Linked DNA regions of Ovis aries. The protein of the gene in region 2 interacts with the protein of the main gene of each other region in a pairwise test. Links are inferred from orthologs where the notes say so. Each region holds a gene or a part of one and is shown on either strand. Other genes may lie near its edges.

Region 1 (4,105 bases), on a different chromosome or scaffold from region 2:
GAGAAGTGACAGAGGCTGATAGTTCTGGTGAATCTGATGACACAGTAATAGAAGACCTCACAGCAGATAATTCATTTGAGAGCAACAAAATTCAGGCTGAAAAACCTGTTTCCATCCCAAGTCCTGTTATAAAAACAGATGGAGAAGTCAAAGAGATCCTCAGTTGTAACAAGAAAGACAGAACATCTGAAAAATTTGAAGGGTCGGTCAGTGACTCTGAGCCACGACAAGTTCGGCCTGATCCTCTTGAAAGGAGCCCAGGTGAAGCAGTGTGTTCACTAGTATCTAATAAGAATGGCACGCCAGAAGTGAAGCAGTCAGGTAGTAAGCATGAAGCTGTTCCTGAAAAGCCTGTTGCAGCTGAGAACCCAAAACTCCCTTCAGAAGCAGCTCCTACAGAACTCACACAAAGTGGGACAAGCTCTGCCTATTTGGAGTCATTGCATGAAAAAAATATGAAAGATCCAGATGATTCTTCCCCAGAGGACCTGATGGCGGCCTTTACAGAAACCAGAGAGAAAGGAATAGTAGGTATAGGTGAAGGCAATACCTTTGAAGCAACATCAGAGGAGACTAAGGACTTTAAAACAATTCTTCCTCTAGATGTTTTGCATGGGAATAAGTCAGGTGGTTCTGAAATTAAAAACAAAGAAAGCAAATACAGTGAACAAAGCAAAGAAATAAATGGGAGTAAGCTTCTGGAAGTTTTCCCTACCCAAGGTACTCCAATAGCATCTCTCGACTTAGAACAAGAACAGCTCACAATCAAAGCACTTAAAGAACTGAGTGAAAGGAAGGTGGAGAAGTCAGCTTCTGTACAGGATAAAGGAGACTCTCCTGAAGAAATATTCAAACAGACTTTAACAAATGTTAAAGAATCTTCCTGGCCACAGAGATCAGCTGATGTCCTAGAACACAAAGATGTCGAGACTGGATCTGATCTTGAGATTTCCAGGAAGCCCACTGTTATCAAGGAAACTACTAGGGTAGAGGCTATTTCCAGCCTTAGCAAGACTGAGCCGGTAAACGAGCCTGTCCTAACAAGACTTCTGACAGACGTGTCAGGTAACCACTTACGTTAGAAATACTGCATGTGGGGAAAAAAAGAAATATTGCATGTGGTTAATTCAGCTATGATTGATTATTTAGAGGGCCATTTTTCTTAGTCTCTGATTTATATCACTAAATTATAGCTAGAATAAAATATACTATATAATGGGGAAAGGTAGATTTTTTTTTTTAATGGTTGTTTGATTTGGTTTTCTTATACAAATGTTTCCCAAAGCAGGAGACTACTTGTTAAAATTAATATTCTCCTAAAGGAAAAAAATGTCATGGTCCAGTTTTTTCATTATACGTTGACTGTAGGGGAGATTGCTGCTTTTAAGACTATCACTAGGCTCTTATTTGCACAGATTAATATAAAATCTCCGTAATAGTAGCACTGCTTAGCCCTTAGGTATTTTGCTTAGCCCTTGTAAAATCTATTTAGCAATCAAAGAGAAAGGAATTCCTGCTGGGAAGATAATAAATGAAACTTTTAATTAATTTGATCTTATACCACAGAGATTTTATGCTCTGAAAGTAGGTAACCAGTACTGTAGTGCAGTCGTGCCAGTGATGCTTTAGGAGAACTCGTGCATTGTTCTACTTTGGACCTTGTTGACATTCTTCAGGTCAAAACTCTTTGCATGGTACTAGAAGCCCTTCTGCTTGTCTTCTGCTTATTTGAGTGATTACTTTCCTAGCTGTTGACCGTCATTTAAATTACTTCAGATGCTCTCTGTTCTGGTGTCTTAGTGTAATGAAAAAAAGATCTATAAAGCCTCCAGAATCAAGCCCCAACCTCTAATCTGATATGAGGTTCTGCACTTGGTGTATGATCAGTGTGGTCAGAGTTAGGTGCTATGCAGGGCCCTGTGGTTTTCCAAACTTCTTAACCAATAGATTCCTCTTTCAAATGAAATCAGACACAGAGTTATAATATTTAAAAGAAAATGAGATTTTTGTTAAGAGAAACTTTTTAAATGAGGTTGTACCATATTTTTTTCCCCTGTAAAGGTTTTATTATGCACAGAATAAGAAAGGGGCTCAGTCCTTTGCAGCCACTTCCCTCCGGTCACTTCTTCCAGCCAGGGTACCACTAACTTGCTTGCTTGGTTAGGTTACCTGCTGGGATCTGTGGGTCACCTGGAAGTCCACAGCCATAGGCTGCTGCAGAACCATGACTGCTGCCCATCATAGCCTGCGGCAGAAAGGCACCATTTACTTCTTATTTTATAAAGGTATTTCCTTACCAAAGACCATGGACAGGTTATTTAACCTTACTAAATCTTAATCCTTAAAATAGAGATAATAATGGTACTTACTTTATAATAATGTGAAGATTAAAAGTGTAAATGCAGGTTATAAAGGGCCTAAGTTTATTCAGTTCAGTCACTCAGTCGTGTCCACCTCTTTGCAACCCCATGGACTACAGCACGCCAGGCTTCCCTGTTCATCACCAGCTCCTTGATTCATCAAACTCATCTATCAAGTTGGTGATGCCATCCAGCCATCTCATCCTGTCATCCCCTTCTCCTGCCTTCATTCTTTCCCAGCATCAGGGTCTTATCTAATGAGTCAGTTCTTCGCATCAGGTGGCCACAGTATTGGAGCTTCAGCTTCAGCATCAGTCCTCATGAATATTCAGGATGAATTTCCTTTAGGATTGACTGGTTTGATCTCCTTGCAGTCTAAGGAACTTTCTAGAGTCTTCTTCAACACTGCAGTTGAAAAGCATCAAATTCTTCAGTGCTCAGCTTTCTTTAGAGGGCCTGCTGCTGCTGCTATGTCGCTTCAGTCGTGTCCGACTCTGCGACCCCGTAGGCGGCAGCCCACCAGGCTCTCCTGTCCCTGGGATTCTCCAGGCAAAAACACTGGAGTGGGTTGCCATTTCCTTCTCCAGTGCATGAAAGTGAAAAGTGAAAGTGAAGTCGCTCAGTTGTGTCCAACTCTTAGCAACCCCATGGACTGCAGCCTACCAGGCTCCTCTGCCCATGGGATTTTCCAGGCAAGAGTACTGGAGTGGGGTGCCATTGCCTTGGGCCCAGTATATAGTAAATATTCATTTAGCAGCAAGTACAGGACCTGGCATATAGTAGGTCCTGGATCATTATTTGTTACTGAATGCATTGTTATTAATTATCTGTGAAAACACTGAGGCTTTTTTATAAACTCAAAAGTGTGAAATGGCAGTTAAGGATAGCTGTTATACTCTAGAAGTTGAAGATAGTTGAACTTGGATTAAAGAGACCTGAATCCATATTGTTGCTTTACACTGTCTAGAAATGTGACTTTAAACAATTAAGTTATATCACCTTTTGGGGCTTTAGTTTCCTTATCTATAAAGTGAGGATGTTGAAGTAGGTGATCGTCAATACCGTTTCTCTGACCCTGGTAAATACTAGTTTTCTTCATGACTTCTTGTCAAAATTCTTAAACATAGGTTTTTGAGGTGATGAGGTGTATAGAAATTAGGTGGTAACAATCCAGTGTCTAATTCTGGCAAATTCCTGCTTTAATGTGACCTTTGACAATTAGCCAAATTGGTTTGGCATCTTGCTTTGTTAATATTGTGGTATTTTGCCCTTCTTCATAGTGAAGAAGAAAATGGCAACCCACTCCAGTACTCTTGCCTGGAAACTCCCATGGACGGAGGAGCCTGGTGGGCTGCAGTCCATGGGATCAGGACTGATCGACTTCACTTTCACTTTTCTCTTTCATGCATTGGAGAAGGAAATGGCAACCCACTCCAGTGTTTTTGCCTGGAGAATCCCAGCGACGGGGAAGCCTGGTGGGCTGCTGTCTATGGGGTCGCACAGGGTCGGACACGACTGAAGCGACTTAGCGGCAGCGGCAGCATGGTGTTACTTTTTGCAACCCCATGGACTGTAGCCTAACCAGGTTCTCCGTCCGTGGCGTTTTCCAGGCAAGAATACTGGAGTGGGTTGCCATTCCCTTCTCCAGGAGATCTTCCCGACCCAGAGATTGAACCCAGGTCTCCTGCACTGTAGGCAGATGCTTTACCGTCTGAGCCACCAAGGAAGATCCTGTAGTAAATAAA
Region 2 (4,105 bases):
GAACCAGGGTCTCTGCTAAATTGCAGGCAGATTCCTTACCAACTAAGCTACCAGGGAAACCCTATTATTACTGGATTTTGTTGAAAAAATGCCAGGACAATTCATTTATTCAACTAATTACAACTGTAACTTAAATTCTGTTATATATAAAATACATTACTTTAATAATCTTTAGTTTTAGTTTTCCAGAAATAATCCTAATATGAGCTATATATTCCTCCCCTCCATCTACTACTTAAGAAGCAAAATAATTTCTGCAGCCCATTTTCCAGGATCAATTATCTTTAGAAAATAAGCGCCTTCTGATTCTAAATGACTGGTCATTTATTTTCACTGCACATTACAGAGCGACTAATATTTTAAAGTCTATTAAATTTCAGACTCTACTTTAAACCCCCTAAATCAGTAAGTTAAAACAGAATCTTCACTGTTATGCCTTTGAGTAGTTGTCATGTAAATGAAGCCGAAGTCAGAGTCATTAAATATTACATGCCTCAGATAACAAGACTAGCTCAAGAAATACATAACAAAACTGGAAATATTATCAAATATTCAACTCAAAAATTATTTTAAAAAGAAAAATGAAGTACTTACTGAATCATCATGTTTCTTATATAATGTACAAAACTGCTTTTGGTGCATCTCTCCAAAATTTTATTATTGTTTATTCAACATAATATTTGGCAATGTTAAGAATGGAAATAGAGCAGAAGAAGTTAAGAGAAATATTCTCTAATTTAAATATTTAGATTAACAGAGGAAGAAATGGAGTGAAAGGAAACCAATTTAAATGACAATGTTTCTTTGTGTTCTGGGGCATGACCAACAACCTCTCAATAGCTGATGCTCAGCAATTTTTCCCTGATGTCAGATAATCCATTTAGATCATGTTCACTTTTGAGTCTTAACACAGACTAATAACATACTTTCCATTCTCCTATTACTGTCGCAGGAAACCGATTCATATTTGGTCACTCATTTATTTCCTCTAGAGACTAGATACTAGAAAAACATTGAATAGATTTGAGTACTTTCTTCTCCAGACTTACTATATATCGCCATCAAACATAATGTTTTGGATATTTTTCAGGTTTGTTTTTGCATCCATTTCTGCTTTAAAGCAGAAATGTTTAAATAATCTGATTTACTTTTCGAATACATGAAATTCGTGATTAATAAAGTCTTTGAATCTTTTTGTGCAACTTAATTTCCTGCCAAATTTTACTTTACAGAGTATTTTGTATGTCTCTGTTCAAACTACGCTGGAATCCTGTTGGGATTAAAAGATATTTACCTTGTGCGTTTGATAAATGATGATTGCATTATCAGCTAATGTTTCCACCACATGAAAGTTTTCTATAGTTGCTACAATGAAGAGAAAATGTTAGCAGTCAAAACAATGTGTTACCGTTTCCCAGTATGTGACTAATTCACTTACATTATACACAGACATTATAGTAAAATGAACAGGATCTTGCTCTACCGAGGCTACATCCACATGGAAGGGAGTTTGTATTCATACAGTATTAGGGGTTATAGATGGTGGCAATGAGATCTAATCACCAGGAAACCTAATTTTTTTTGGCCCAGTATCCAGCTCCCACTGCAAGAAAGCAATTCTAATCATGGCTTCATTACTAGGGCACAAATTATTCCCTAACACCATGACCTCTTCCCTCTCTTGTCATCCTTAATTTATCGGAGCTGAATAAGCTGTTCACCTAGGTTTAGGTGACTGTAAGCCTGAGGAGAACACACCCCCCTCCCCTGACACCACTCCCCTCACAGCCCCCTCTTAATCTACAATTTATCACATAAACAGTATAGAAGGAAAAAAAGATGATAAAATAGAAACCTTTTATTTTAGCCTTGGCTTTTCCACTAACTAGTTCTGTGGTCTTTAACGTGTCACTTAGGCTATCTGAATTTTACTTTATTACCTACCTATCACACAGGACTGTAGTGGATTAATGCTGTAACTCACTGAGAAGCATTTTGTACAATGAAAAGCTCAGGTATTATCAGTCCCCTGGATGATTCTCCAGGTAGTTTCCATAACTATCTGGAGTTTTTATGACTTTGGAAACTATAGCTCAGATTAAGAAGGCCAGGTTAGATTTGGTATTTAATTTAAAATTAAAAACTATCAAAATATAGTAATGGCAGCTTACTTTCCCAATCATTGCGAACATCAACATTCCAGAAGTAATTGCAGACCTCGTGTCCTGTAACGCCTTTAACTGCATGGGTAGCTTTCAAAGGATCCAGAACAATCCCATTTTCTTCTACTTCTCTTCTATATACCTAGAGGATATATTTTAAAACATGTTTAAAAACACTTATGCAACATAAACATTCTGCCAAAAGAAAAATTAAAATTTCAAATTATTAACAAAGACAATACAAAAAAATATTTAATACTACAATGCCAAAGTATGTATATGTAATGAGTGAGAGCTACAAATACATCCATTTAAATTAGACATTATTTACTGAACATTCTCAAAGACCATTCGTCATGGCTAAGAAGGCCAAATACAGCTGGTTAGAACATTATCTCCTAAGGGATAATATGTTCACTGCTGTATCCCCATCACCTAGAACAGTATCTGAAACATGAAGGCACTCAATTATTTGTTGAACCAATGATGGAATGCTAACATCGCATAAAGATCAATGATATCTTGCTTTTAAATACTGAGGTTGCATGCCTTAAGATCTGTCTTGCTTTAAATACTGAGACTGTATAAACTCTTGAATAAAATTAATTACTTCAAAATTATAGAGGATTTGGTACTTTAGACAGCTCTGGAGTAAGTTCTTTGAAAAATAATCAGGTTATCACAGAGGAAACCAGCTCTCAATTTATGGAGTGCCTATGGGGCTGGACACTGTCAGGCATTTCACCTAATTTCTCTCCAAAGTACCTTTCCTTACACATTTATTTATGTTATTGGGACTGATAATATTTTTCCAGTAACCAAAACTGGAAACTCTAGACTTTTGATTTCCTCCCTTACATTGCACATGGGTTTTAAGCTTCTTAGTAATCTGTAAGACATCCAAAACTTGACTTTTCTACTATTGTGTATCTTTTTAAGGTATGTTTTCATCACCTTGTACCTGAATCTCCTAAGTGGTCTCTAGTTTCATATCCCTATGAGCCTAGTCCTTCTAAAATGTCACTCTGTATACAGTGGCTAGCTCACTGCTACAGACAATAACACATTCTGTTTGTGGGTTATTTTATACACCGCATAAACCAGCCCCAGCGACTCTCTCTCTAAAGCGGTAGGAGCACTTCTTCTCTACCGCTCACTTCAGGTGAAGGACCTCCACTCAGACAGTGACTCCCGGCTTCTCCTCACCCTTTCACTTCCCCCTCCTTGCCGGGGAAACAGGGACACCTGAATGGTGGACACAGGAGAGTCAGGCAGGCTTGGCTGAACCCCTTCTCCTGTGGGCAGGATGTATGCTGGTCTGCTTCTGGGGCTCGCTCTTGTGGGGGAAGGCCTCTGATTACCTAGTTATGTCAGAACTATTATGTTTCATTCTGGGGTAACGTACTAGTAAGGCCTCGTGACAGCTGGTCTTTCTGTTCTCTAACCATTCTCTAACCAGACTGCCAGCATTCTAATTAACACGCTGGTCTCTCATTTGCTTACCTCCTCTATTTCTTAATTTGTTCCCTATTCAGGAGGAGAGTAAATTCCAACATCTAATACTGTATCTCACTTGTGAGAATAACTGTGGTCAAAAATCTGTACAAAACTCCTGAATATAAATGCCCTCGCCTCACCTTTGTGAGAACCTTGTTTCCATTTCTAGTCATAGTCCTTGATGTAAAACAATCTGTCTCAAATCTGAGATCTCTTTCAATTTTCCTCCACTGTTCACCTGTACTTTTCATTTAATATTATCTGGTAGAGCTAAATAGTTCTATCTTTTAAATGTCAATATCCTCCTTCCAACCAAAGTTTCAGCTTGGAGGGAGTCTTATTAAATATCTGTTTATCTTTAGCATTGTGCCTTGGGCATGAAGTAATCCAAAATTCAACGATACTGTTGTTGGTTTTCAACTGAACACTCAGTCTCTTGTCCCTTG
Region 3 (4,105 bases), on a different chromosome or scaffold from region 2:
CAAAGCCTTAGATACATATAAGTTGTACAGAATCAATGATCCAAATGTTAAGAAGAAAATTTTTGGCAACTCACACTTTAGGTCTGACTGAAATTGACTACTATGTCTTAACATGAAAATACTGCACTACTGTCAAAGTCCAGTACGCCTAGCTTTAGTGTAAAAAAAGTGCAGATTTTAAATACTTACTTAGCCACGGCATCTTTAACATTCTTATTTGCAAGTCCTAGATAATGATCTATTTGCGCCTGAAAGAGATAAAGAATTTATTAGAAAATCACCATGGCTAACAAATCTTAGAACTGTGTTCCAACATATTAAAGGCTTAAAACTGCCACATTTCTCGTTTTTCATAAGGTTTTGGAAACTGGCACTGACATTTCTAAGTTCCACATAAGAGAATGAGGTTTGTATTCTGAAATCTACAGTTAAATTACCTGATGCCGTTCATAAATAACAGGAACACTGAAGAGTGAAATCAGAGCTGAAAAAGGAAATACACAGGCTTTAAAGTAGATTGCAGTGTTTGTTCCCTAAATCATACCTAAGTCATCAAACTGGCAGCACTCTTAAGAGCCAGGAATGTTCCTACTACAGGGAGACACAGCTGCTGGTGGACAGAGGAATGAATTAACCAAGGGAGCCAGGAGCCACTCCTGGCTTCACATTACAGACTTTATAAAATATAGGCATCCCTAGTTAGTTAGACATATGAAATAAAATCAAATAAGGCCACTCTTGATCTGGTTTATCACTGTTGGAGTAGTCTTCAGGAAGTAAGTGGCATTTCCATAAATAGTATAATTATTAGCAATTTATTTACGGTCACAACCTCTAGTGTATATCCCTCTATTTTTTTCTACAGTATAAGAATATTTTCCACTAAAACATCTTGAAGTTCGTTGCACACCTTTTTTTTTTTTTTTCGCTGTGCTGTGCAGTATGCAGGATCTTGGTTCCCACACTAGGGATCAAACCCATGGCCTCTGCAGTGGAAAAATGGAGTCTTAACCACTGGTCTGCCAGGAAGTCCCCAATCTTTTAAAAAATTTTTCATTCTATTGGTTTTGTAGACTTACCCAAAATTAGTAGTGTCAGACCATTGAACAAGGCACCAACATAGGTAAATACCCACATCAACACTGCAAACTGTAAGAGAATAACAGCCAATTAAAGACAAAATTCAAGTCAAGTTTTTAAATTAAATCTTCAAATAAATATATCCCATGTAAATGCCAAACTACTATAGGCATACTCCTTGGAGATTGGGTAAAAACAATATGGATATTTCACTAAGCTGCCAGGCTCGATTCAGGAATTTCAGGATCTAATTAAAACAGTTACTAGATAGGATTCATTTTCCTCTGAAGTACATTACCAAATAGTTGATTCTGTTTCCTCTAAAATCAGAAAGCCCCTCCAGCTCTACTATAGTATTCAACTTCTAAAATGGGAAGACTGGAAAGCTATCGTGAGAATTAACTATTGAAAATGATTTTCAAGTACCAACAAGTGATTCAAGATTTACATGAGCTGAATGACTCAGACATATATCTGAATAAGCAATAATGGCGCAAGGAGACTATGTCTCAAGCACCCAAGATATCAGCTCTAACATTTTATTAAGGATCAGAAGGACTTTCTCTCCAGTAATAAATGTTTTAACAGCCAATGAGGAGGACTCAAACTTTTAAACCTAATAATAAAATTGACCATTATTATTCTTTTAGCCACTGCCTTCTTTATTTAGCAAACACTAACCCAGTTCTTACTATTGATGTATTAGTACCACACACTGTTTTAAGTGCTTTACAAATACAAATTCATGTATTCCTCCTAGCAATTTTACGAGGTGGGCACTGCTATCATTACCACAGCAGATGAAGACACTAAGGAAAAAACAGAGGTTTAGGAACTTGCTAGAACTGAGGTTATACTGTCATATTTCACTGTGCCCTCCAGGGACTGCTGCTGCTGCTAAGTTGCTTCAGTCGTGTCCAACTCTGTGCGACCCCATAGATGGCAGCCCACCAGGCTCCCCCGTCCCTGGGATTCTCCAGGCAAGAACACTGGAGCGGGTTGCCATTTCCTTCTCCAATGCATGAAAGTGAAAAGTGAAAGTGAAGTCACTCAGTCATGTCTGACTCTTAGCGACCCCATGGACTGCAGCCTACCAGGCTCCTCCGTCCAAGGGATTTTCCAGGCAAGAGTACTGGAGTGGGGTGCCACTGCCTTCTCCTCCCAGGGACTGCAGTGCAGACTAAATACTCCTATTTTAGTAAGCCTCATCTCAAAATCTTCAATTAAAAAAAATCATTAAATATAGCAGTTTGGGAAAAGCCTTGTTTCTGTAAAGTGCTTTCATTTTGAGAAGTCCTTTATTTCCTCACCATATTATAGTTTACTCATGAATGGCTGAATAAGAGGATTTCAAAGTTTTCTTCCAGTTCTTGGTGACACCATATAGTAAAAACTCAGTGATATGTTCAAGCAGTTCTTGAAGACTTATAAACACCAAGTCAGTCTGGATTTTATTAAACATTCAGCAGAAGCAGTTTCTCTGTTTCCTAGTAAAAGCCTTCATATGTCTGGCAATCTCTCTGCCCTGTTTAGTAGGTCACAAACATCCCACCACGATGCCACCACCGACAATTATTTCGGTTTCTAAGAGCAAAGTATAAATGAAAAGGAGAGAGGAGTGAGCACCTCCATTATCTAAAAAAGGGATCAGCAAACTTTCTGTAAATAAAGACAGAAAACAAACATTTTTGGTTTTATGGGCCACAAAGGATCTCTGTCACATATTCTTTGAATATTATCCTTTAAAACCGTAAAAAGTATAATCAGCTCCCAGACTGTACAAAAACAGGTCACAAGCCAGACCGAACAGTAGCTTCCTAACTCTTATCTAAAGCAAATATCTTTGTCCATGTAGCATTCATTCAGCAAAATCTGATTGAATACCTACTATGAGCTGGGTGCATGCTAAGTCGCTTCAGTCGTGTCCGACTCTGCGACCATATGGACTGTAGCCTACCAGGTGGGTTGCCATGAGCTGGGTACTGAGCCGTAATTAAAGTATTCAGACTCTAGGAAGTTTATTTACTGCAGGTTAGGAAGAATCTTGGATTCCTGCACCAACTGTCAGTTCTACAAAGAGCAACACTTTGGTTACCCCTGTAACTGAATTTAATGTTCAAGTGAGCAAATATCAAGCATTCTTAACAGCTGCCAAGTGCAAATCAAAAATTAAATGCTGTCCTGGTCTTTGCAACTTCTATGGAACCTCTGGCAGAAGGGTTTGAAGTGTGACTCCAGTTAGCAAGCCCTTTCCCTCTCGCATAGTTCTACAGACTCCTATTGCAAAAGCTAAATATAACTCCTGCACTTGAGCAAGTTTACCATAGAGCAACAGTTATTTTCATCCATCTCCATCCACCAAGTCAGGAAGAGAAGGGTCAACCTACGTTTTAGGAGAAATTGCTTTAGCAATAAAGATACCCTTACCATGACAAAATTCAGAAACTAACACACAAGCTAAACATAAGTCCTAATCTGGTCATAAAGTCACTGACAAGGCTGCACTCTAAATCCATAAAAAAAGAGAAGCCCAAGTCTTCACACCAAGGTGATGTAGGGGGTTCAGATGTCATTAGATCTGCCTCTTGCAGGACATGTTCTAAAAGCCCGATGATCCAGGTGCAGAGAGAAATGGAGGGAGGCTTCAGACCTCTGTGGGGGCAGGCTGGTGACACAAATGCCTGAGGGAGTCTCGGTGAGGACCAAGGCAGATATGTGCCTTTTACCTCTCAAGAAGCACCTGCAATCCAGCTCCACAAGTAAACGTTCCAGGCCAGTGCCGCCATGTTTCCCCATTTTAGGAGAGAAATCCAGAAATTCACATTTTTATGTGCTATCACAGAATTTACAAATGTTGCAGCTAAGTCTGGAGAAAATTTAACACTTCAGGGCCCCAAACAAAAATACTGGGTAAGGGTTTCCAGAGAGGACTCCATCAGAAGAGAAAGGACTTAAGAGCTAACATCCAACAATTGCACAATTACTGAAATTTATTATGTAATAACAGCAACTAACAAATTTCTCA
Region 4 (4,793 bases), on a different chromosome or scaffold from region 2:
TGATGGCGTTGAGCACCGTTGCATGTGTATATCTGCCATTCGTATATTGTCTTTTGTGAGGTGTTTAAATCTTTCACCCCTCTAAGAAATTGGGTTATTTTCCTATTATTGGGCTTTGTGAGTCCTTTATATTTCTTGGGTAAAAGTCCTTTATCAGGTATGTGGTTTGTAACTATTGTCTCCCAGTCTGTATCTTATATGGGTTATCCTCTTATTAGTTTCTTTTGAAGAGCAAATGTTCTTGAGTTTGATGAAGCCCAACCTCTCAATTTGCTCTTCTATGAATCAGGCTATTAATGTTGTATCTTAGAAAACTTTTGAGATCACAATGATTTTTCTGCTGTGTTTTCTTTCAAAACTTGTATGGTTTTAGGTCTGATATTTAGGTTTATGATCTATTTTGAGTTAATTTTGGACACAATATGAGATGTGGAGTCGAGATTTTTCTGCATGGGGATCTGCGGCTGTTCCCGCCGTTTACTGTAAAGACTCTCTGCTTATGTCATTGTTTCTGCACCTTGTCGAAGGTCAGGTGACATTTTCTGTGTGGATTCACCTCTGGGCTCTCCGCCCTGTCCTTTAGGTCTCTGTGATTATCCTCTCACCAATACCGCATAGTCTTGGCTAGTTTATTTTTATAGTCAAGTCTGAAAATCGGCTGGTGGCCACGCCTACCTCCTCAGCACATGTGTGTTTTTCTTAATTGCCCTCACTCTACAGATGCGGACACCGACCGCAATCCTGGTTAGCTGCCTCACTCACAGCCTCTTGTATATAGTCTGTTAGATGCTCAGCACATACTCCAACCCTGTGTCTTCTCAGCGGCCTGGCCTGATGCTCGCCGTGTTCTCTGGATTTTGGTTTGGGTTTAAGTCTCAGCCCTGGTTTTATTGGTTGTGTGGCCCTGGTTTTAATCTCCGTATGCCTCAGCTTCCGTACCTGTCAATGAGTATCATGATGGTACTTGCCAAATAGACTGTGGTGAAAGTGAAATGGTATAGACGGTGGTGAAAACGAAAGGGGACCGTTTGTTGGGTCAAGCTCTGAAATTGTTGATATTTGATCATTTCTGATGGACACACATGACTGTCTTGCCTCACCCAACCTGAAGCTCAGCCTCGCAGCGCTAGGTAGGCAGGAGAGCGTCCGCTGCAGAGGCGGTTGCCGCGGTCGTCATCGTCCTCGCTGTTCCTCTCGCTGCTCCTGTGGTCTCACTGTTATCGAGGGCGGCGGCCCCTGCAGCTGAAGCTTCGTCTTCCACGTGTCCTCAGTCAGGCAGCCAAAGTCCGCCAAGCCCACCCTGTGTGACAAGCTTCTTAGGAGTCTGCAGGCTGTGAGAGGGCCTCTGGGAGCAGAAATGCCCAGTTGGTGTGGACAGGTGTGGCGAGTGCAAGAGGAGAAGGTTGGGAAGCGGGGGCAAGTGGGTCGGCTGGACGTCCAGGTGGGGCCTGGGAGGTGGCCTTTATGGAAGGGGGGTTTGGGTGCAGGTTGCAGCTTGCTCAAAGGCCCGGAAAGGGGAGCAGATGAATTCAGGGGAGCCTGAGGTTTGACTGTGGGGTGGAGAAGCCAGTGGCGGCCTAGAGTGGCTCATAATCGCCCCGTCCTCTGCCTCCACAGGTGGCCAGACTCGCCTGCGGAGCCCGTGGGCAGACCTCCCCCGCCTCCACCATGTCTGCGAGAACCATCATCATCGACCACGGCTCTGCCTTTCTGAAGGCTGGCTTGTCGGGCTGGAATGAGCCGCAGCTGGTCTTGCCCAGTGTCGTGAACTACATCCCCTGCCGGGAGAACCCGGGCCCCAGCTACGCTCGGCGGCGCGTGAGTCTTGGCATTGACATTTGCCGACCCGACACCTTCAGCTACCCCGTGCAGCGGGGCCGCGTCATCAACTGGGAGGGTGTGGAGCACATCTGGTCGTTTATCCTGGAGAAGCACCGGCTGGAGCATGGGGACTTCCCTGTGATCGTCACAGAGAGCCCCGTCAAGGAGCCCGTGGACCGTCAGAAGACCCTGGAGGTAAGGGCTTCTCTGGGCTGCCCATCCAGGGAGCGGGCCTGACACTGTGTTCAGACCCGCGTGGGTGCGGGAGCTCCGCCCTCTGAGGCATTCACCCTGTGAATACTGACTGCCCCGTGTGTGCCCAGCACTCACGTTAGGCAAGGGGGGCTCACAGAGGCCCCCGGGGCAGGAGGCAGCAGGCCAGCGCGCTGTGAACAGGCTGCTGTGCGGAGGGGCTCCGGGCGCTCACGGGCTCCCTAAATGTTCACAGAGAACCTTCTGGTCTTCAAAGAGCTTATGTGCTGGAGGAATGCTTGATGGTGAGGAAGTTAACAAAATTCCAGGTAGTAATCAGTTCTAAAACCAAAATGCAATGGGGTGAAACTGACTGAGGGAAAGAAGGGGAGCCCCTTGGAAGATGGTGATCAGGGAGGCCTTCTCTGGGAGGCTGGAGCCCAGCAAACTAGGGAGGGTGATAACAGGGAGCCAGGGGCTGGATCTCATAGGTCTGGTAGGCTGTGGGACGTGGTTGGATTTTATTCTGAACCGAAGGTTAGCAAACTATAGCCAGTTGGTCAAGTGTGGCTTACCATCTGTCTTTATAAATAAAGATTTATTGAAACGTACCCACGCCCGCTCATTTACACATCACCTAAACGGCTGCTTTCACCCTGCAGCCCAGAACTGAGTAGTTGGAAAGAGACTGTGGCTCGTAAAGCCCGAAGAGTACTTACCGTTGTGGGTCTGCTAGATAAAATACACGGTAGATTGGAATTTCCCATCACAGCAAATAATATTTCAGTGTATCAAACACTGCATAGGATAAACAGTGAAGCAAAGTGAAGTCGCTCAGTTACGTCCAGGTCTTTGCGACCCCATGAACCGCACCCTACCAGGCTCCTCCGTCCATGGGATTTTCCAGGCAAGAGTACTGGAGTGGGCTGCCATTGCCTTCTCCAGAGGATCTTCCTGACCCTGACCTGGATCGAACCCAAGTCTCCTATGTTGTAGGCAGACGCTTTACCGTCTGAGCCGCCAGGGAAGTCCTAGGACATAGTGAAGCATTATTTGTTGTCCATCTGAAATTCAGATTTAATTGGGTATCTTGTATTTTTATTTGTTACATCTGACACCCTGAACCATTTATAGAAAATGTTTGCCAGCCTCTGCTCTGAGTGAATATGGAGCTCCTGGAGAGCTTTAAGTGGAGTGTGGGGTTTGCATTTGATTTTTTTTTTGAAAAAGAGGACCTTGGCTTCTGTATGGGGAGTGGATGGTAAAGGGGCAATATTCTGAACATAGGAATGGACGGAGCTCCCTCCCACTGAGGGGAGAAGGTGGGCCTGCAGGCCTGCAAAGGCGGCTCGGTGGCCAGAGGTTACAGGGGCTACAGAGCTGGGCCGTTGGAGCCTTTCTGCATCTGTGGTGTCAGAGCCCTGGGGATGCAGCCTGGGCTGGGCGGTTGGGGAGGAGGGGGTGGGGTGCTCTGTAAAGACTGTGGGGGTGACAGGCAGAGGAAAAATCAGCCGGGGGACTTGCCAAGCTCTAAAGATCAGAATTCCAGCTTTGTCTTGGTGTTTGGAAAGTGTTTATCTTAAAAAACGGACTTCACGTGTCAGGAGGTTAGCGTGTCTCCCTTGCCCCCCGCCCCCCGCCTTCCCTTCCTGCTGCCCCTCCTTTCAGGAGGCAGTGGTCTGTGTGCAGCATGGCTTTCTTCTCTCATCACTTCCGTCTTATGAAAAAATGGTTCAGGGGCCTCCCTGCTGGCTCGGTGGTGAAGAATCCGCCTGCCAGTGCAGGAGACACAGGTTCCATCTCTGGGCCAGGAAGGCCCCATGTGTTGCGGAGCAGCCAGGCCCGTGACCCGCAGCGACTGAGCCTCTGCTCTGGAGCCCGGGAGCCGCAACCACTGAGCCCGAGCCCCCGAGAGCCCGTGCCCCACAAGCAGAGAGGCCGCCACAGTGAGAGGCGCCCTGCAGCTGGCGCGTAGCCCGATCTCCACAGCTAGAGACAAGCCTGTGCGGCAGAGACCCGGCACGGCCAAAAGTTTAAAAATTGGGAAACAAATAGCTCCGGCTGCAGCTCCCGCGCTGGACCTGCCCCACTTGCGCCGGGCTGCTCACACAGCCAGGCGTCTCAGCGCCTGCGCGCACATGCTGAGGCTCTCCCTGCCCCTCCGCCAGAACGGTCTTCTGAAAGGCCATCGTCAAGCAGCTCCCAAGGGCCAGCCTGGCTTTTTCTGACCCTCCAGGACCCTTCCCGAGTCCCCCCAGGGTGAGCACTCTGCTGGCACTGCCCTGGGGGGCGCGCTGAGTTCTGTCTGCTCCCCTCCTGCAGATCATGTTCGAGTTGCTGGATGTGCCGTCTGTGCTTCTGGCCGACCAGCTGGAGATGTCGCTGTACTCGTCCGGCCTGCTGACGGGCGTGGTGGTGGACTCAGGCTGTGGCCTGACCCGCGTGCAGCCCTTCCACCTGGGCCGCCCGCTGCGGCCCGGGACAAAGACGCTGGAGTTCGCGGGCCAGGACCTCTCGGCCTATCTCTTCAAGAGCCTCTTCAAGGAAGATTACAATCGCCACAACCTGTTCCAGCTGGACACCGTGGCCAGCACCCAGATGCATAAATGCTACGTGCCGCAGAACCTGGGGGAGGAGCTGGACTTCTATCAGGGCCTGCCGAGCGGCGCCGACGAGAGCAACAGCTACCACCTGCCAGACGGCACCGCCGTGGAGCTGACCCCCCTGCAGCGGCTGGCCCCCGAGATGTTCTTCAGCCCCCAGGTGTTCGACCTGCAGGG
Region 5 (4,105 bases), on a different chromosome or scaffold from region 2:
GCGCAAACTCTAGGCCCCCAGGAAGGCATTTCCTCAGCCATTCCAGGGCTCCTTGCTTTGCTGTGGGGTTCACTCGAGACCCAGCCATCCAGACACAGCTGAGGCCCTTCTGCTCCTGGAAGGGAATCCGTCTGAGTGGCGGTTTCAAGTGGACTTGCGTAAACTGGGGCAAAGTTCCCCATCCTTTACGTTTGTATTTGTGGCTCCTCTGTTCTCACTGTGATGTAGTTAACTGATTTTCCACTTGCCCCCAATAAACCAACCCGGTTATCTCACTGCAGTTCTCTTACCTTCTTTCCCACCTCCACTTCTCCTGAGCAGGGGGTTGCTACTCCCTGGCTCCCTCCCCACGGCGTGTGCCTCCCTTCCAGACCCCTAGTCGTGCGTGTCCTTTCCCAGACACACCCCTTTGACAGACTGGACACCACGCTGGGAATTGGTTTCATTTTTCTTTATTTTTTTTAAAAAAGCCCCTAAGTTCTATGGCTTCCAGGAAGCATCAGAGAAACGGAAGTGCCATTTCTGTACACTTTGTAAAGCCAGACCTAGACGCACGCACCGCGAAGACGCCCAAGCTGCTCTGCCCGCAGCTCGCAGCCCCAGGGGACCACTGGGACGGCACTGACGGGGCTGCCCGCTCCACACACACCTGCGGGGCTCGGACGGGCTTTAAGGCGCTTGTCTCCAGGCTCGGCCGGCAGCGCGGAGCGACACAAAAAGCCCGCACACGCGCCGCCCACGGGCCTCGAGGTGGCTGCCCCCAGCCCAAGTTGAGGCCGGCGGCTCCACCGACAGGTGCCAGGACCCCTGAGGGCCGCGCCTGCCAGCCCAGGCTTTGGTGCAGCATTTTGGTTGGGGGCCGCCCCCACCCCGCCTTCCCCTCCAGTCTGGGGAGGCCCAGGGTGGGCTCACCCCCGGCAGCAACGCCCCGCAGCGCCCCCTCGAGAAAACGGCCTTTGGATCGAGGGAGACAAGCTGGACTTTATGACACTAACGGGCGGGCGGTGGTGCCGGCGGCCGCTCTACTCACTCAGCAGACGCGGGCGGGGGCGCAGGGCAGGGCAGCCGCTGTGGTTTCTCTTTTCCTTGTTTTAAATAGTTAATGCTCTCAGAGGGGAGGACTAGACACAGGTGTAGAAATCTCGGCCCAAGTCTTATGTGAGGGTCGTGACCCCGCGCGGGGGGCGGCAGCGCTGCCGGCCTGCAGTCTGCGTCCGGCTGTGGCCAACGAGGCCGTGGACAAGCTGGCCCCGGGGGGCTGCAGCGGGAGGATTCGGGGATCACTGCCCTGGGGGGTCACTTGTGTCGCTGTAGCGATTTTCTCTTTCTCCTTTTGAAGAAACAGCAGCACCTGGAAGGGGGACGCAGGCTGAAAGGGGGCACAAGCTGCGGAAGGGGTGAGGGTGGAGGAGGAGGAGCAAGGGTACGAGGGGGCAGACCCAGGACATCCCTGCTTCCCGACCCAGCTGCGGGCCTTACTTTGTGTCGTCAGCCACCTCCACCTCTGCAGGGGCTGTGATGGGGGCGTTGGAGTGCCCGGCGGTGGGGTCGTCAGCATTCAGCTCCCCGTTGGTGGAGTTAAGTGCCTGCGGGGGGCGGGGGCGGGGAGTCAGGTGGGCCCCGCCTGACACCCCCCCAACACACACACTTTGGTGCGGTCCTTGGCCTGGCACTCACCTGGTTTTTGCTGTAGAGCAAGGCTTTCTCTCGAACCTGAGGCTGCGCGGGCAGGTCAGAGTGAGCCGTGCCGATGGGCGTGGGCTGCAAGGGAGCAAGAGGCAGCTTAGGCTCAGCTGGGGGCCCCTGCCAGCCACCCTCACCTACCAGGGGCCCCTCCCGTGCCAGCCCCCTCCCTCCACGTACCAGGGGCTTCCCGGCCCAGTCGTACTCGTAGTCAAACACGAAGCCGCTGCGGTCAAAGAGATCGGTGAACAGCTTGCGCAGGTAGTCGTAGTCCGGCTTCTCAAAGAAGTCTAGGCGCCGCACGTAGCGCAGATAGGTGGCCATCTCCTCTGCAGACACCAACAGGGCTAGTGGAGGCTCGGGGCAAGGGCACTGGGCAGGGGTATGCAGAGCAAGGGGGCGGGGGTACATGGGGAGACGACTCTCACCTGGGAAGCTCTCACAAAGCACCTCGATGGGCGTGGCCCGCTTGGTGTCCCCGATCTTCTGGTAGCGTTCCTTGAGCGTGTCGGCCTGCAGGGGAGTGGAGTCAGCACTTTGGCCGGCCTGCCCACCCGCGGGAGACCTCCGGCCTGCCCACTCGGCCTGGCCCACCCACCTTGAGCCCCTGCCAGGGCAGGCTGCCGCGCAGAAAGTACATGAACATGTGGCCCAGCGCCTCCAGGTCATCACGGCGACTCTGCTCTGCGGGGGACAGCAGGTCAGCACAGCCCTCCCAACCACCATCCCCTGCCCGGCCCACACACCACTCACTCACCCTTGCCCAGGTGCGTGTTGATGCTCATGTAGCGTGCCGTGCCTGTCAGGCTCTTGTGCTCGCGGTACGGGATGTGCTTCTTGGTCTCGGGGTCGATGTACTCCTTGGCCAAGCCGAAGTCGATGATGTGGATGGCGTGCTGCCGCTTCGTGCCCGGCCGCCCCACTAGGAAGTTCTCCGGCTTCACATCGCGATAGATGAGGCTCTTGGTGTGCACATACTCCATGCGCGTGATCTGCCGGTGCGCGGGCGGTAGGTAGGCCTCAGCCCGCTCTCTGCGCCTCCCACTTCCGCCCCACCCCGCCCCTTCCGCCCCAGCCCGGCCCGCACCAGCTGGATGGCTATCATGAGCACCGTCTTGAGCGTGAACGTGCGGTCGCACAAGTCGAACAGGTCCTCTAGGCTAGGCCCGAGCAGCTCCAGCACCATGGCGTTGTACTTCCCACACGGGCCAAAGTAGTAGACCTGAGGGACGCCCTCTGCGGATGGAGGACACAGACTAGCGCGGTGCCCAGGCGGGCTCCCCCAGCTCCCCCACGCCCGGCCCTGGGGTACCTGCGGCGCTGAGCTGCTTGTAGAAGCGGTACTCCAGGTGCAGCTGCGGTGCCCGGGACTTGATGGGCTCCTGGGAGGGACGAGAGGACGCGTGGGCGGCACGCAGGGTGCAGTCCTGCCCTCCTCCCGCCCCGACCCTGGCCAAGCCCATCGGGACAGCTGCCGCTTGGGGCTAGGGGCAGGTTTTGGACTCACCAATTTGATAGCTACGTATTCATTTGTATAGAGATTCTTTCCTGTGGGAGAAGCAGCACATCAGGCCCGCGGGACTTCCAGCCCATGAGCCCGCGCATCTCCTGTTCCCCTCACAGCCCCCCTTGCGCTGGTCCCCTCCTTCCCAGTCTGGGAGGGAAAAGGATGCCCGCAAGGGGCTCCCCCCGGCTGTGAGCACCCTCACCCATCACCATCCCTAGGCCAACCCTGCCTCCGCCCACTGGGGGCTGCTCCCCTGTCCTCAGCGGGATCCTTCCCGCCAGCACGCCCATGCACTCCAATTTCTCCCACCTAGAAGAGTGAACACAGAACAGAGTCCTGGTGACCCCAAGGCCCTTCTTCAGCTCCGGAGACCTGGAGGAGACATCCACACCACCCTACAACCCGTCTCTGTCCCCAGATGCTCTCTGAGCCCCCATCCATCAAGCCATTTGACCAGCACTCTCCCCTCTCAGTTCTAGGGACCCTCGAGGGAGGCCCCCAACCCACGCCCTGCCTGTAAGTCCAGACAGTTAAGTTGTGAACATCTGCTGGACAAGGCCCACCCCCCCACCCCAACCCCCCCTATCCCCTGCGGTGGAGTAAGGGCCCCAGGGCCAAGAGCCCCTTCCCCAGCCTGAGGCTTCCTGCACAAAGCCCATCAGGAGGAAAGTAAACCTGCATCCTAGGCTTAGAAACTGACATGCCTGGGGCAAGAGGTCTCCCCTAGCCCCTCACCAGCCACCTGGACCTCCAGGTGTGCATTGAGAACCAGCTATACTGCTCAACCTCATAAAACTGCAAACACAAAAGCTCCAGAACCCCTGCCCAGGCCAGCTTTTCACCTGCTAGTTCCCACCCTTGGCTGAACCCCAGATAGCACCCGGGGGTGGTGGCCTGTGTGCATACCCAGCAAGC

Evidence for each region.
Region 1: the proteins of CERT1 (region 2) and RTN3 interact in binary tests that used the Homo sapiens proteins (3 or more experiments, as listed by UniProt). The link is inferred for Ovis aries from reciprocal best matches to the Homo sapiens genes CERT1 and RTN3.
Region 3: the proteins of CERT1 (region 2) and RTN4 interact in binary tests that used the Homo sapiens proteins (3 or more experiments, as listed by UniProt). The link is inferred for Ovis aries from reciprocal best matches to the Homo sapiens genes CERT1 and RTN4.
Region 4: the proteins of CERT1 (region 2) and ACTL8 interact in binary tests that used the Homo sapiens proteins (3 or more experiments, as listed by UniProt). The two-hybrid records come from large-scale screens. The link is inferred for Ovis aries from reciprocal best matches to the Homo sapiens genes CERT1 and ACTL8.
Region 5: the proteins of CERT1 (region 2) and CSNK1G2 interact in binary tests that used the Homo sapiens proteins (3 or more experiments, as listed by UniProt). The two-hybrid records come from large-scale screens. The link is inferred for Ovis aries from reciprocal best matches to the Homo sapiens genes CERT1 and CSNK1G2.

What each region holds. Positions count from the first base shown.
Region 1 is NC_056074.1:38,529,996-38,534,100, forward strand, and holds part of RTN3 (reticulon-3), read left to right. Parts: coding exon 1-1,065; intron 1,066-4,105. UniProt on the Homo sapiens protein: May be involved in membrane trafficking in the early secretory pathway. Inhibits BACE1 activity and amyloid precursor protein processing. May induce caspase-8 cascade and apoptosis.
Region 2 is NC_056060.1:6,790,137-6,794,241, forward strand, and holds part of CERT1 (ceramide transfer protein), read right to left. Parts: intron 2,305-4,105; coding exon 2,172-2,304; intron 1,366-2,171; coding exon 1,295-1,365; intron 1-1,294. UniProt on the Homo sapiens protein: Shelters ceramides and diacylglycerol lipids inside its START domain and mediates the intracellular trafficking of ceramides and diacylglycerol lipids in a non-vesicular manner.
Region 3 is NC_056056.1:69,034,483-69,038,587, reverse strand, and holds part of RTN4 (reticulon-4), read right to left. Parts: intron 1,150-4,105; coding exon 1,080-1,149; intron 485-1,079; coding exon 438-484; intron 249-437; coding exon 190-248; intron 1-189. UniProt on the Homo sapiens protein: Required to induce the formation and stabilization of endoplasmic reticulum (ER) tubules. They regulate membrane morphogenesis in the ER by promoting tubular ER production.
Region 4 is NC_056055.1:248,512,456-248,517,248, reverse strand, and holds the start of ACTL8 (actin-like protein 8), read left to right. Parts: upstream 1-1,622; 5' UTR 1,623-1,668; coding exon 1,669-2,016; intron 2,017-4,335; coding exon 4,336-4,793.
Region 5 is NC_056058.1:41,931,129-41,935,233, reverse strand, and holds the end of CSNK1G2 (casein kinase I), read right to left. Parts: intron 3,232-4,105; coding exon 3,191-3,231; intron 3,066-3,190; coding exon 2,996-3,065; intron 2,920-2,995; coding exon 2,771-2,919; intron 2,676-2,770; coding exon 2,441-2,675; intron 2,368-2,440; coding exon 2,282-2,367; intron 2,197-2,281; coding exon 2,112-2,196; intron 2,031-2,111; coding exon 1,864-2,030; intron 1,762-1,863; coding exon 1,678-1,761; intron 1,587-1,677; coding exon 1,480-1,586; intron 1,352-1,479; coding exon 1,297-1,351; 3' UTR 437-1,296; downstream 1-436. UniProt on the Homo sapiens protein: Serine/threonine-protein kinase. Casein kinases are operationally defined by their preferential utilization of acidic proteins such as caseins as substrates. It can phosphorylate a large number of proteins. Participates in Wnt signaling.